Linked DNA regions of Cricetulus griseus. The protein of the gene in region 2 interacts with the protein of the main gene of each other region in a biochemical or structural test. Links are inferred from orthologs where the notes say so. Each region holds a gene or a part of one and is shown on either strand. Other genes may lie near its edges.

The links. The genes of interacting proteins can lie anywhere in the genome.
Region 1: of the proteins of Srpk2 (region 2) and Prpf38a, one has a biochemical effect on the other in vitro, tested with the Homo sapiens proteins (2 studies listed by BioGRID and IntAct). The link is inferred for Cricetulus griseus from reciprocal best matches to the Homo sapiens genes SRPK2 and PRPF38A.

The regions. Positions count from the first base shown.
Region 1 is NC_048595.1:41,238,364-41,243,169, reverse strand, and holds the start of Prpf38a (pre-mRNA-splicing factor 38A), read right to left. Parts: upstream 3,337-4,806; 5' UTR 3,202-3,336; coding exon 3,072-3,201; intron 2,461-3,071; coding exon 2,301-2,460; intron 699-2,300; coding exon 577-698; intron 1-576. UniProt on the Homo sapiens protein: Involved in pre-mRNA splicing as a component of the spliceosome.
Region 2 is NW_023276806.1:171,093,183-171,097,506, reverse strand, and holds part of Srpk2 (SRSF protein kinase 2), read right to left. Parts: intron 3,867-4,324; coding exon 3,766-3,866; intron 3,673-3,765; coding exon 3,565-3,672; intron 1-3,564. UniProt on the Homo sapiens protein: Serine/arginine-rich protein-specific kinase which specifically phosphorylates its substrates at serine residues located in regions rich in arginine/serine dipeptides, known as RS domains and is involved in the phosphorylation of SR splicing factors and the regulation of splicing.

The DNA of each region.
Region 1 (4,806 bases), on a different chromosome or scaffold from region 2:
GTAATTCTCATATTTAGGAGGCAGAGACTATAGAATCCAAAGCCTGAGGTCATCTTTAGCTACACAGTGTTGAAGGAAGCCTGGTCCACATGCCCTCAAATCAAGACAAAACAAAGGTGTTATGTGTAAAATATACAGCGATATCTCCTTGTTAATCTCTACATGATTAATATAGGTCCACTTAGTCTACAAAGTATAGCATGGAATAGAGTCGTAGATAAGTGGCCTGCAAGGGGGAAAAAAATGTGAAGTTGTAATATTTGGAAAATTACTTGGGGCAGGCTAATTCAGGTTTTATAGAGAAACCATTTTTAAGCTTCCAGATCTTGTGGATGGAACAGGTATGGAAGATATATCTGATGTAAGTCAGTGTTGAGCATAAAATGCCGCTGGAAAGGGAGGCAGCCATGTACCAAAAGGGTTAAGGCCAACCAGTGGGGGAGATGGAAAATTTGGGTGAAGACAGCCATCATGCAGATGAAGAGAAAGATTTAATGTATATAAAAATGAGTAGAGATACAGGGGAAATACAAATGGCCCAGGAATTATAGTCTAGAGACTTGGTATCATACTCACCCCCATTTCGGTTCTGGCTCTTGATTTTTCGATAGTCATTGTACAAAGGTTCCAAGTACTTGTAGCAATCAATTGCAGTTCCTGTCAGCCTCATGTAAAGTGCCCCCAACATGCGGACATACCTAACAGAGAAAAGATATTGACGCAACAAGCCATCCTAAGAGTTCCTGAGTGTTATAACTGGCTTTTCTCATGACAATAGCAGATAAAAGTTTGTTTTCCTTCTCATTATCAGGTAAGAAAGTCATAATATTGAAGGTACCATAGAACAGATGATGGCTAAAATATGGAGACCTAATGAACTTTCTCATCTATGGATTACTGGCTAGGGGAGCTTTCAAATATATTATCTGTAAAACTTCACAGAATTAGCCTAAGCCAAAAGCCACAGAGAAACCCTATCTTGAAAAACCAAAAAAAAAAAAAAAAAAAAAAAAGAATTAGCCTAAGGTTCCAGAAAGATAATAAATTTAACACAAGGCATTATATACATTTTACAACAATGCTAGAACAAGCATACATAGCCACAAACAGGTTCTGGAAAAAGATCAAAGTCATAGAGGTTAAAATTCTGACTTCATATATTACTAACTTTGATAGCAGACATGAAGCTTATTTTCTCAACCTCTAAAATGGAAAGCTGCAACCTAATTTACTGCCTTGGTGCCATAAAAAAATGCAAAGAAAACTGTGTCAGAAGGACATGAGCATACAAAATTAGCTATTTTTCTAGCCTTTTTCTTTTTTCTTTTTTGGTAATATTCCTTCTTTTTCCTTTTTCATGTATTCAATTCCTTACTCAAATCTCCATCTGAAATCCAAGATCCATCTTATGAGAAGAGCACTATCACAGAGAATATGTACTCTGACATGAGTTGTAGCTGAGGCTGAGCACTCAGGAGGCAGAGGACAGAGAACTGCCATAAATACAAGGCCAGCCAGCACTACATAGTAAGGCACTATCTCAATTAAAAAAACAAAACAAAACCCACAGGAAGAAAGTGTACTCTGAAGCCAGCTTTGCCTCCCCAATTCACAATGGGGGATAAAACTTTTCTTCTACTACCATTTCTTCTACTACCAAGCTTTATCTCAGCCCAGACCTGCCACATACTCATCTGACCTTAGGCAAATTACTGACAATCTCTCCGGGAGTCTCAGTTTCTTCACAAGTAAAACAGGTATCATATTTTTAAATTGGTGGAGTGAAAAAAAAAAAAAAAAAAAGAATCCCTATATGTAGAACCCTTAAACACATCATGGTACATAATTAGCTATTTACCTGACTCTGAACGCCTAGAGAATGGATAATAAATATGGAGCAGTTTATTATGGTTACCATGCATTGCTATGCTTAAAAAATTAAAGAGGCTCACAGTCAATAGGTAGCAAAGTCTGGATAAGATACAGATTTAACCTGTTAACTAAAATTCTATGTTGTATGATTCCCATATCTACTGCCTACCAACATATCATTTTGATGACATAGTGTGTATCTGTACATGTACAGGTATTTGCATGAATTTATTTAATTTGTGAAATACTTTTGGGAGAAGGGGAAGTTACCAAGACTGATAAAGTAGAAGGTCTACATAATCACAACAGCCAAAATACAAAATTCAAGGGCAAAAGCCCGTGAAAATTAAACATATAACACTCAGTCCTACTAACAAAGCCAAATTCTGAACCACTAAAATTTTTGTACTAGTCAACATTGTACTCACTTGAAATCTTCATTTTTTATGAACTCAACAATGATATCTTTCTCAGGTTGAATTTGAAGCATCTTCAAGGTTAAACACAGGAAAGGAGTTGGCTTTATGTTTCCACCATAGACACCACCCACAAACCTTAACTCCATGGCTTTGTCGACTACAAGTTCAGCTGAAATAATCAAACACAAATAGTGACATCTTAGACATAATAAAGGTCTTAGCTTTTCTTGGTTGGAAGGTGAAACAGATGTTTAGAGCTGCTAAATAGTCAACAAGAATTTAATTAATACTGGGAGAACAGGTGCTTCTTAACAATAGTAATAAAAAATGACTGCCTGGGGCTACCCCATTGAAGAAAGAAATACCCCTTATCCCAGCCCCCATTAATTATTTGTAGTCCGTCAAGGAAGGGTGTGGCTCATGAGTCTTCGATCTTTATCCAACAAATCGTGCAGAAAAAAGTCTTGTCAATACCATCACATGCGGGGCGGTGGTGGCGCACGCCTTTAATCCCAGCACTCGGGAGGCAGAGGCAGGCAGATCTCTGAGTTCGAGGCCAGCCTGGAACGGCTCAAAGAACCTAAAGAAACCCTTCAGCATCAAGAGAGTCCCTGTCAGCTTTGTCTGTGTCCTGTCTGGTACGGGTCTAGGCACACAGCTATTTATGTGAATGGTTGACATACTCTTTTGCAGTACCAACACCCGAGGGTCTATCCTTCCTCATTGAATTAGAAGAAGCCAGCCGCAAGGCCGAGACGCGGGCCGCACTCTGTCACTCACCCGTAAGTCCAAAGCATTCCTCTTTCCAGTACTTTGATTCATAGATTCGAGTCCGAATGATCTTCTCCACCAGATACTGAGGGTTGGTGCCATGGATGCTGTGGGCATCCTTGACCGTACGGTTCGCCATTTTAGAACGCTTTCGATTCTATTTCCGTCGGCTTCTTCAATACGTCACATCCAGGTTTAAAAAAAGACCTTCAGAGGCTGGGGAAACCCTTCTAACAGCTGAAAGCAACCCGCTTGGAAGCGGAAACTGCGACGCTGAACACTTCCCCGGAACTACGCAGGGCGGGCATCAGCGATGGCGGAAATACGTCATGAGCCCTGGGTAGGCGTGGCGACATGGTTGAGAACGCCAATCGGGATCAGGCTGTGGGCGGAGTTACGGCTAGTGGCGGGAAAAGTTTTTGCTCTGCCTTCCATTCCGACTCTGGCGCGTGCGGTGGGTGCGCAGCGCAGCTGGCTGTCCCGGGAGGACCCCAGCTCGGACGGGCGAGCCTTGTGTAGCTAGCTCCCCGAGTGCCTGGACTGGAGGCGGTGGAAAGCGCCAGGCAGCGGCCAGACCTGGCAAGCTTCGGCGTGGTGAGTGCGGCTCGTTCTTCACAGACTTAATGATTTCGGTCCACACACATGCACCAAGCACCTATTAAGTGGCGGGCACTGTTCTCTGCTAGCAAACAGACCCTTCTTGGCTCCACCAAGGTCCTGGAATACTTCCTGCTCTGCGGGAAACCGAGTGTTTGCCCTGTGGAAGCCGGAAGTCCACCTCAGAGAAGTGTGTGTGTGTGGCTTGCCCTCGGGTGCCTAAGGCTCTGGCTTTTCATAAGCACTGCCTCTGAAAAACCCTCGCAACGTTTTCTATGGAACGGCGAAGCTGATGCTCTTCTCCACTTTATCAACTAGCGATTGCGCCCAGAGAGAGACTTTCTCTAAGTTATCTCTTGTGCTTTGGCGTCCCGGCCTGCTCAGGAATCCTCTCCAAATGGGTTGCCCTTGGGGGGTGGGGGAGGCTTTCATCGCCAGTCACAAAAGAGAAAGTCTAATGGCCCGCTTTCTACTTTCTAGGGGCTAGCCTAGAACAGAATGTAACCTTGTCAAGTGGTTGTCCTAAGGCTTGAGATGAGAGATGCCTGCTGAGGGTTAGTACGAGTGAAACTGCAATGATGAGGCAGGCCATTTTACTTGTCCATAGAAGTCGAATAGTCGCACTGTGGGTTTTTTTTTTTTTTTTCCGAGACAGTATTTCACTGTGTTGTCTTCTTGGCTGTCCTGGATCTCGCTCTGAACCAGGCTAGCCACGAACTCAGAGACTGCCTCTGCCTCTCGGGCTCTGGGATTAAAGGTGTGTTCCACCATGCCTGGCTTTTTCAAAATTACTGTGTATGCCTCTCGGGCTCTGGGATTAAAGGTGTGTTCCACCATGCCTGGCTTTTTCAAAATTACTGTGTATTTATTTGTTGATTTACTTTTTGGTTTTTCGAGACAGGGTTTCACTGTGTAACTATGGCTAACCTGGAACTCACTCTGTAGGCCAGGCTGGCCTCCACCTGCCTCTGCTTCCGGAGTGCTGGGATTAATGGCTTGCACCACCACCGTCCGTCCAGAATTACAATTTTTTTAAAGAGCTGTATTAGAGGACAATATTTGGATGTTTGGAGGTTTCTGAATTCTGTGAAATTGAGTTCAGTGTTTTGGATTGAACTGTGAATTACATAACATCGAATTTGTACTT
Region 2 (4,324 bases):
CAACATTGAGATGGGCAAAGACAGATGTCCTTTAAAAGATGGTTGTTTTGAACAGCACTCAGGTTTCCAATGTAGTGCTTAGAGAAGGCTATCAATGAAATGATTTAAAAAGAAGAAGAAGAAGAAGAGGATGGGGCTGGAGAGATGGCTCAGGGATTAATAGCACTGGCTGCTTAAGAGCAGAGGCCCAGGGTTCAGTTCCCACATGGTAGTCTCACAACTGTCTGTAACTACAGTTCCATAGGATCTGATATTCTCCTCGGGCCTCCATGGAATCCACCTACATGTGGTACACAGATATACATGCAGGCAAAGGACCCAAACACATAAAATAAATCTTTTTTAAAGAGGGAAACAAAAAAAGAGAGAGAATTAGAAAAAGAGAAAGGGAGAATGGCTCCCTGGATAGAAAGAGTGATTAGCTTTCTTAATACAACAGACAACAGGGTAAACACACGTGACAATGAAAACACATGTTTAATGCTAGCAGCTGTGGAAACAGGAAACATTATTGCCACCTACTGACTAAGCTGTTCTCTATGTCAAGTTCTATTGTTTGTATTCAATATTAGGCAACTCTGGAGTCTCTTTCTGTTTCCCTGGGTCCTGTCTGTTGTCAGTTCTGGGGGTGCTTAGAGCTGGAGGCTTTTGTCAGTCCAGTGACTGCGGTGGGAGCTTTCCAAAGGAACAAGCCTGCAAGGTTGTGAGTGAAGTCACTGTTCTTCCTAGAGAACAAGCCATGGAGGAGGAAGCAAATACACGTGACAATAATTTGTCCTAAGTTTTGTTTTGTTTTTTTTTTTTTTCATTCTGCTGATAACCAGGACTCACCAGGGAGACACAAGAGCTCCCTCCCCTATTTGGACAAGGACACCTATGTACAAAGAGGTAACACAGAATTCCTGACCCACGGCCTTCTGTATTGCTGAGGACAAATAGCAATTTGCCTTGCCACAGCCTGAAATGGGAGACACACACTGCCCATTCTGTCAAGGAAGTCATTTCCTTCTGACCTGGCCTCTGCCTCCTGTAATTTTAGCCTCTACTTCCTCTACCCTCAAACTGCAGAACAAAAGCCTCTCCACACAAATCCTCAAAAGGAAGTACCTATCACATGGACGGTAGCTTCTTTCAAACACTAAGAACTTGACTGTAGGTTCTTATTGAAAAACAAAAGTTTTTAATAATTTTACATTTATTTTCTGGAGTTACTAGAACAAGAGTCTAGGAAGGCATGGTGTTTCATGTCTGGCCAGGCCACATCAATAATTTCAGATAGTGATAACTTGAAAGATGAAAAGCATCTCATGTTTCTCACATCACCCTGTATCATCTGCTTAACAAAATGCTTTTACATTGGACTGGAGAGATGGCTCAGCAGTTAAGAGCATGTGCTACTATTGCAGAGGACCCAGGTTCAGCTTCTAGAATAATATAGACACGGCAGCTCAGTGGCAACACCAGTCCCAGGGGATGAGACACCCTCTTTTGACCTCCACAGGCACCAGGCATGCATAATGACACACAGATATGAATATGAATATGAATATGAATAGATAGATAGAGAGGGGGTTTTCAAGGCAGGGTTTCTCTGTGTGGCCTTGGCTGGCCTCGAACTCACAGAGATCTGCCTGTCTTTGCCTCCCAAGTGCTGAGACTAAATGTGTGCATCAACACAACTGGCCAAAAGTTTTTAAATAGTTAAAATGGCTTTATATTAGCACTACTGGACATAAAATACAGAAGATTCAAAACAGTGATTAAATTAAGTTCTGAACAACAGGTAACCATCATATTTATTCTGCTCCCTCCTACCTGCCCTTTCAGAAGGTGAGCACTAAGCCTTGCATACTTGGCTAGTGGGGGTGAACCTCTGGGCTCCATCCCTGGAACTACAAAAAACTTAAGCAATACTATAGGATAGCCATGGCAGCACTGGAAGCTACATGAACACACGCATGCCACCTTTTCTACCAAAGAACAACAAAAGCCCAGTGAGAAGAATGTGCTGAACTGGCTGGATGCTCAGTGAAAGACAAACTGGTATTAGCTCACAGGTGAGGACCTACTCAGGGTCACCAATTCAGATCAGAGCAAATAGCAAACGGTACACAAAAGCCTGGTGCAGTAGCTATGTCGTAACCTCAGCACTCAGGAAACGAGTTTTGAGACCAGTCTGGACTACATTTTAAAAATGGGACAAATAAAAAGAGTTGCGCTGAAGCAATGGCTCAGTTGTTAAAGTGTCTACCATGGAAGCCCATGAGTTTGATCTCCAGAACTTACACACACAAAGGCCAGGCATGGCAGCATGGGCTTGTAAACCAGCATTAGAGAGGTGGAAACAAACAAGCCCTGGTGCTCAGTGCAGCCAGCCTAACCTAACCAAGAGCTCTAGAACAATGAGATAGCTTGTCTCAAGAAAACAAGGTGGATGACTGAAGAGTAACACCCAAGGATGACCTGTCTTTTACACTCACATGCATGCATATGTGCACGCAGCTATATACACATGTGTACTTGTGTGCATGATGTGTGGTGAGTCTGGGTTTAGCTTACAAAGACAAAAATTCAGAATGTTCAAATCAAAGGGATGTTCCTGCTGCCTCCAGGAAAACAACACTGTGTTCCAGGGAAACAGACTCAAACCCAGGAAGTCTGTGCCACCAATGCTGTCTCAGGAAAGCAAGCACATGCCAAAAAAAGGGGCAGAACTCTCTGCATTTGAGTTACAATAAAAGCAACTGTGCACTGGCAGATGGAGAAATCTCAAGACCTCTGGGAGAGGCCACCTTCCAGTGGTACAAACTTTTAAGTACAGTCACCCCACTCGTGTGAGAAGGCATTTGGCTTTACCTCATAGTGTAACAGGGAGCCTGATACACGTGAAAACTTCCAGAAACTAAAAGCAATTCCTCCAATGAAGTCTGATTCTTGGGGCACTGGGCTGCACGGTGCCCAAAGAAGAGACCATCTGTCACAGACTATACCTCTAGCATATCTGAGGAGAATTCTTCCAATGCTTGTAACACCCAAGCACAATCTTCTCCTCCCCCACTTTATAAATCTCCAGCATGATTCCACTCATCAAGAGGATCCACCAGAAGTCATTTCCAGGGAAAGAAGAGTGGCAAGAGTGAAAGGTTCAGGCTTTGATGCTGATTGGCTCTACCTCTTTAAGAGACAGACCCTGACCCCTGAACAGTCAGGGCATGCCCAAGAAAACGTTCTACGTCATCACTACGTCACCTGTCACCCATGACGACTCTGGGCATGCGTGGAACCTAAGTGCGCATGCGCAGTCTTCCCTTTAAAAGTCCCAACTTCCCGCTTCTCTCTCTCTGCTTCCTCTCTACTCTCCTCTGTTTCTTCTTGGCTCTCTCTCACCTATGCACTCTCTCTGCCTCTATGACGACCGGCTATGGCAGTCAACCATTACCCCTGTTCCTCTTCTCCTAGTCTTCCTACTCTGCCAGGCCCATATAATAAACTAGTCAACATGTCTCATCCTTCAGCTTTCTCTTTTCCTCTCTTTAAATAAAAACATAACAAAGGGGTCCTCACCATGCAAGCTGTACTCCAGATGTCTGCAGGTGTGCTGTAGCCAGCTCCGATCAGAACCTCTATGGACCTATACTGCCGAGTCTGGATGTCCTCTGTAAAATGTTTATGCTGGAATGGAATAGAGGTGATACATATTGTTTTAAAAGAAGCATGTTCTCACACAATATCATCATTAAAATGTAAAAAGAAAACTCTACTTACCACCCAACAAGCATTTCCCAGATCAGCAATTTTTACTCTAATTTTATCTGCATTCTGTGGATCCAGAGGGTTCACCAACAGGTCAGCTGCCCGGGTTTTTGCTGCCATGAGCAAACAGCAAGATAGTTAGTAAAGGGGACAAGAGGTTTGCATGTGTGAACACATGTTTGCCAGGTACAGTCTCAGTGTCTCCCCCCCCCCTCTTAAGGAGAGTGACACGATAAGCCTAGAATCCTGCAGGTTGAACCACTGGTGAAACATTAAACCCACATAAAAATAAACATAGGTAACCAACTGGTAGTGAACACTATGTAGTTCACCATTCCCTACTCCAGCTTCCTCAACTGAGCACTCAAACATCAAGGGTTAGATGACAACTGATTAGCAAATTTAGATTATAGGCAGGGGCTAATCTTTTATGGCTTGGTTTTGAATGGGAAGATGAAAAATAGTGTTCTAACAAGTTGAAGAGGGCCAGTGTTAGGTCAGATGCCTCAATTTTAGGACGACACACCCAGAGGGAGTCTCTACAGCAAGCCCAGAGCCAGGGCTGCTGGCT